Linked DNA regions of Ovis aries. The protein of the gene in region 1 interacts with the protein of each later gene in a pairwise test. Links are inferred from orthologs where the notes say so. Each region holds a gene or a part of one and is shown on either strand. Other genes may lie near its edges. The genes, in order: KIFC3 and USP2.

Region 1 (2,544 bases):
CCCGCAGGACAGAGCTCGGGTCATGGTCCAGCCAGGAGCACCTAGAGGTACAGGGACCCCTGCTGGCGCTGGGTCAAAGACTTCCGGTCATGGGCAGGAGGGAGGATGTGGCGGGGAGGACAGCCTGGAGTGGGGAAGAGGGGGACATATCAGAGGGGGTGGAGTCAGAACTTGAACCCAAACCCAGTAGTCTCTTCAGTCCAGGCATTTTTGTTGACCTCAGAGGTACCTAGGGGTCATCAGCTGGTTGGAGGTGGGGCAGGGAGGTGCAGGCTGGCACACAGATGCTCAGTAGTAACTAGTTAACTTCTTTATTAATTCCCACCTTCTTCCCATGGTTATTGTATCATCGTCATGTCCATTTTGCAGATGAGAAAACATTTTTTGGGTGGCTGGGGAGGGGAAACACATGGGTGGCGGGGGACCCGCCCACCTGCCCTTCTCTGCCCACAGTGGGAGTCAGCTTGCCAGACGCCACAGCCCTCAGCGCGAGCCCATTCGGCCCCTGGCTCTGGGACCACTAGCCGCCCAGGATCTATCAGGAGGAAGCTGCAGCCCTCAGGTGAGTCTTCAGGGAGTGAGCCAGGGTGGGGAGCCTCCCCCATAGGCTGATCACAGCCACTGGGCTGCCCTTATCGGAGTGGGCTTTAAATTTATAAAACTTCTCCAGACCAGTTTCACAACCTTCCTTGGCCCTGGGAGGTAGTCAGGGCAGACAGTGCTGGGTCCATTTTATTGATGGGAAACTGAAGGCTCCATGGAGACGGAGTGTCAGGAGGGGAAGCCAGCCCTCTGGACTCCAAGCTAGACCGCTGATGTGAGGCCCAGGATGCAATTCTCTGAGGCTGGGTTCATGAAAGACATGGCGTCCCAAGTAGGCCATGGATGGGTGATTAGAATCCGGGGCACCAGCCCCCAGCTTGGCCCACTCACAGAAGGGCCTGCCAAGTGTTTGAGTCTAAAGGGGGTGTGGGCAGCAGAGTCCTGGGGGGTGGGTCCCAGCCCAAGGCAAGCCTACCAGTGAGACACCTGTTGCTTTGATTTCAGCCTGACGGCTGGGGCTGCAGAGTCTCCAGGTGAGTGTGGGGGCCAGCAGCCCAGGGCTGCCCGCCCACCCGCCTGCCTGGCTGCCTCGGGTTGCAGGGCTGTGCTGGGAAGTTGGCTGGGTCTGGGGCTCGCTGCCTGCTGTCTGTGTGCTTCTGCCCGGCTGCCTCCTGCTCTAGGACAGAGGCTGACAGTCCGGGTGCTGACAAAACCTACCTCCTCCCATAGGGAAGTCCAGGCCATTGCCTGTATGATGGACATGCCCACCCTGCGGGACCAGGGACCAGCGACTGGGTCTCCGTGCATGGCTGCCCCGTCCCTGCTGCAGTGTCTGGAGCCTGCAAAGCAGAGGCCAGAGTGGAGGCGCCTCTTTGACCCCGTCTCCCCTTAAGAGATGAGAAACATGTTCAGAAGGAAACCATGTCTCTTGGCTGTGGCTCTGGGTGCAAGTGGCACAAGCTGGAAGGGCAGGCCCAGGTCATCAGTGTGCGCCCTTGTGGGGAGGGCAAGTGTGTTGTGTGGGAGGGTGGGCCCTCGCCTGGGCTGGCCCAACCCTTCCCAGCCCGCAGGGCCCCTCCAGAAGGCACAGGAACTGTGGGAGCTGGGCGGTTGGTGGGCAGCCCTGTCCTGCTCTTCTCTGGAGGTAGAGCATCTCGCCAGGCGTGTATATAGTGTTCCTACATGTACACAGGAGGCCCGCTCCTGCCGCGGGTCGGGCTTTATTTATGGCCGGCAGGAGGCCAGTGGGTGGGGATCTTGCTGCTCCCCTCTTCTGCCTGGCACCAGGCTGTCTCCCTGCTCACTAGCCTCTTGACATTTTCCTCCCTCTGAAATCCTATTTAAGAACTTTTGGAAGCTTAGCCATTTTTACTTATTAAAATAACCTTTTTACACAAGCACTGTCTGGAAGAGTTGGTCTTGTGAGTCCCTGATCAGACGCAGGGAGCAGGCTGTTGGCATGTTGTGGGTGGTTCCCCAGTGCTGGCTTGTCACCCAAGTCAGGATCCAGTGTCCTCCCCTCCATCCTTATCATGACTGACCCATACGAGTACTGGCACCGTCACCTAATAAACGGGAAACTCAAGCTCTCCAAAGGCTTGCCAAAAACCTAGCCACAGTGGTCCCTATACCACTGCCTGCCCTCTGCCCTGGCCTTGCCCCCTTAGGTGAATGGCCATAGGTAAGTGCCACCCCCCTCCTCCCTCTGCCTACAGCTCCCAACCATTGGTGCCATGCCCACCAGGCTCCCCACCATGGAAGTGGTGCTGGTCTGCACCTGGTCCCAGCCTTGGGGAAACATGTGCAGGGCTCTGTGGGGTCCTCGCACCAAATGAGCAGGAAGCTGCCTCAGGAGGAGAAGCAGGGTGACTTCTGGGTCAGGGGACCTGTTCTGGCCAGCCAGCACTGGGGGCTCCTGCAGGGAGGGGCAACTGTTCAGAGCATGGGGTAGCTGCCTTTCCAGTCCCATCCCTGGAGGCCTCTGGGGGTGGAGGGAGGGTG
Region 2 (3,814 bases), on another chromosome or scaffold:
ATGGCTCTGCAACCCCACCACCCCAGGAGCACCCAAGAGCCCCTGTTGACCCTCAAGGAAAATGAGAGATCTTACCTACCCCTCCTTTGCCCTCCAGCTCCTTCAGAGATAAAGCCTGCAGGTTTACAGTGGTGGAGGGACTCTGGGGGCCGCCATGTGAGCCTAAACTTGATGGGGGTGGTGAGTTGAGGTAAAGCAGGAAGGGCACTGGGCTGGAAATCTGAGAGACATGGACACGAGTCCTCGCTCTGCTAGCATGTGGCCCTGGGCGAGTCAGTGGCACTTTTCCACTTGTACAACGGAGAACATGAGATGGATGACCCTTCATCGAGGGGACACTCTCATACGCCCCCGGCGGGGGTGGTGGATGTCCTAACCAGTCTTAATTGGCTAGAGCATGCACTTGGACACAGCTGACTCCAAGTTCCTGAAAAACAGCTTGGGCAGACCTTACTATTTAGTCTGAGTAACAGTTGGAGGATGTTGCTACAAGTCCTTTGTAGCAACAATTAAAGCAAGCTTGACAGTGCGGGCCGGTGACAGGTGCAGTGCACCTAACTGATGATCACCCTTGTTTCAGCAGAGGGGAAATCTGGGCTAGATTCCTAAATCTGATGTCCCCTTGGTGAGGCCTGGCTGTAGCTGTTTCACGTCGGTCACTTTGGTGTCCTCTATGTAAAGCGTGGTCATGGCTGTCCACTCCCTAGGCCCGCGGGAAGGTTCAATTGGATGATGGATGTGGAAATGTCCCCTTTCACTTGTGGTAAAATATATATGACGTGAAACTAAAAAAAAAAAAAAAAAGTCGACCCATTCGGCCTTTGAAAACTCAATTCAGAGGTTCTGTGTTCCTTCAGCAGATCCACCCCAGCTGCAAGGACTGCGGGTGGAAATAGGAGCGCTGCCTGCAGTGCAGGATTTTAGCCTCTAGGGGGCCCCCTTTGCACAAGTCATTATCACCATCGGTTTGCTGTGGGTACTAATAGGGGAAGCCCTGGGAGGCCACAGGGCCCTAACTCCACTTAGAAACGAAGACTTAGGTCAGTGCAGAGGGAGGGCTCTACCTCACAAGGATCCCCCACCGCAGCAGGTGGCCATGTCCAGGGAAGCACTCTGGGATTGGGTCTGGAGACTGAGATCAAGCGTTCCTCTCAGCCACCCATCACCACCACCACCCACACCTAGGCCCCTTTCCTCGTCTCATGGGCCTCCTGTTCCTCATCAGAGATCTGGCTAAATGATCCTCACGTCATGCTGTCTAAACAGTGTAAGATTCCCAAAAGATTGCTCCCAAAGAGGGGAGCAATCTGAACTCTTGGAATATCCAGCAGTTTTTAATCCAGGGGGTGAGGGCGGTGGCATCCCTCATCTCAGGGGTGCCTGCAGAAAGAAGCCAAGGAGAGGAAGCAGATGGGGTTTGGGCTGGAATACTCTTGGGGGCTTTTTTGTTTTTGTTTATTCAGCTGCATCAGGTGTTAGTTGGGGCACGGGAGATCCCAGACCAGAGATCGAGCCCAGGGCCCTTGCATTGGGGGTGTGGAGTCCTAGCCACTGTACCACCGGGGAAGTCCCTGGAGTACTATTTGTTGCTTGAAGGGCTGCAGTGGCGCGGTCCCCGCTCTCAGGCTGGGGGCTTTGAGGGGAGCGTCTAGTCCAAGCTGTGCTGAGACTGATTGCCCGTGTGGTTTATGAAAGCCTCTCAGCTCTGGGGCTCTCCCTGAGGTGTGAATGCCTGGGTGCGTGGAGACCTGCACACTGGTGCACACGCACATGCAGAGGTGTGTCCCAGTGGTGGGCCAGTGGCTTTCCTGGAAACAGACAAGTGTGGCCCCTGGTTGAGGTCAAGCCACTGGGGAATGGAGAGCAGGCACAGTGGGAGCAGCCTGACCCCCGGCAGGGCCTTCTGACAACTGCTTTCCTTGTCTTTCAGCCCATGAGGCTCCCAGTCCCCACCGAGTGCCGCCCTGAAGGATGTCCCAGCTCTCCTCCACTCTGAAGCGCTACACAGAATCGGCCCGTTATACAGATGCGCCTTTCACCAAACCGAGCTATGGCACCTACACTCCCTCTTCCTATGGAACCAACCTGGCTGCCTCCTTCCTGGAGAAGGAGAAGCTGGGTTTCAAGCCCAGCCCCCCTACCAGCTATCTCACCCGTCCCCGTACCTATGGCCCCCCCTCCATCCTGGACTATGACAGAGGCCGCCCCCTGCTGAGACCTGACATCATCGGGGGTGGTAAACGGGCCGAGAGCCAGACTCGGGGCAGCGAGCGGCCTTCAGGGAGTGGACTCAGTGGGGGCAGTGGATTCCCTTATGGAGTGACCACCAGCTCCCTCAGCTACCTGCCTGTCAGTGCCCGCGACCAGGGGGTGACCCTGACCCAGAAGAAGTCAAACAGTCAATCAGACCTGGCCCGGGATTTCTCCAGCCTCCGGACCTCAGATAGCTACCGGCTGGACTCTGGGAACCTGGGCCGCAGCCCCATGCTGGCCCGAACTCGCAAGGAGCTGTGCGCCCTGCAGGGCCTATACCAGGCAGCCAGCCGCTCCGAGTACCTGGCCGACTACCTGGAGAATTATGGGCGCAAGGCCAGCGCACCTCAGGTGCCCACCCCGACCCCTCCCTCACGAGCCCCCGAAGTCCTCAGCCCCACCTACCGACCCAGTGGCCGTTACAGTCTGTGGGAGAAGGGCAAGGGCCAGGCCCTTGTGTCCAGCCGCTCCAGCTCCCCAGGGCGAGACACCATGGTGAGTTTGCCCCTTGGGGACCTGGTGATGGGCTGGGGAGGAAGCCACTGATGAGGAAAGGGCTTCCACCTTGACAATCGCAGACAGAGGTTTTCCTTCCCAGGCCTCACAGTGGCTGTTCCTATAGCCCAGGTGGGGACGAACCAGGGAAGTCATCTCAGCACACCTGGTGCCCTAGTGGCTTGATGTCTTTGCTCAGGGGCTCTCCCACTCTCCCCAGGAAATGCACTTCACGACCTGTGCACTCGACGATGGCCCTGCAGTGCTCTTGGAAATGCCCAGCTACCCTCACATACACTGCGACTCTTATCCTCTGCTTTCCCACCCAACATGCCTGGGGCCCCTGCAGGCCCTGCCCCATCCTGGACTGCATGCTGAGATCCCCAGACCACCAGTGTGCCCTGTGGTAAGAGAGGCCCCCTGGCCCTGACTGCATCTCTCCTCCTGCTCAGGCTTTTATCTCTGAGTCCAGAGACATGGCTTAACGTTGGAACGTAAGACATCAGGAGAAGAGGATCTCTCCTCTGACGGATGCTGCCTGGCTGCGGACCAGGGGTCTAGACAGGAGTAGTTCTCGTGTGTCTTTGGAGAAAATGGTGCAGAACTTCTTGTCTAGGGCTTTAGTCTCTTTCTACTCCAATGTGCCTGGGATCAAATAAGGGAAGAGGCTCTGCTGGAGACCTGAGTGAGGGCTGGCATGACCCACCCACATCTGATCCCTGACACACCTCTCCTGGGGCACTGACTACAAATCTTCCTTTTGTGTAGTCATCAGTTTACCCATTAGGTGGTGAGCTTTCAGAGGAGGAGAAAGAAATCAAATCTCCAGATCCCTCACTGTGTACCTAGCTCAGTGTAGCATTCGGCTCACCTGCGTATCACATGGATGGTTGAATGGGTGGATGGACGGGGGAGTTGAATAGATATATGGGGGAATGGATAGACGGGGGAGTGAGCGGGTAGATGGATGGATGGATGTGAGTGGGTATTCAGAAGGACAGGCAAGCATCTGGGCAGGAGAACTGGGTGTTGTCATCTTCATTACTTTATGTACCCTTCTACTCTT

Evidence for each region.
Region 2: the proteins of KIFC3 (region 1) and USP2 interact in binary tests that used the Homo sapiens proteins (3 or more experiments, as listed by UniProt). The two-hybrid records come from large-scale screens. The link is inferred for Ovis aries from reciprocal best matches to the Homo sapiens genes KIFC3 and USP2.

Annotation. Positions count from the first base shown.
Region 1 is NC_056067.1:25,311,833-25,314,376, reverse strand, and holds the end of KIFC3 (kinesin-like protein KIFC3), read left to right. Parts: coding exon 1-47; intron 48-453; coding exon 454-562; intron 563-1,047; coding exon of another isoform or gene 1,048-1,052; exon of another isoform or gene 1,053-1,076; intron 1,077-1,272; coding exon 1,273-1,298; 3' UTR 1,299-1,940; downstream 1,941-2,544. UniProt on the Homo sapiens protein: Minus-end microtubule-dependent motor protein. Involved in apically targeted transport. Required for zonula adherens maintenance.
Region 2 is NC_056068.1:29,661,547-29,665,360, reverse strand, and holds part of USP2 (ubiquitin carboxyl-terminal hydrolase 2), read left to right. Parts: intron 1-1,930; 5' UTR 1,931-1,971; coding exon 1,972-2,748; intron 2,749-2,968; coding exon 2,969-3,154; intron 3,155-3,814. UniProt on the Homo sapiens protein: Hydrolase that deubiquitinates polyubiquitinated target proteins such as MDM2, MDM4 and CCND1. Isoform 1 and isoform 4 possess both ubiquitin-specific peptidase and isopeptidase activities.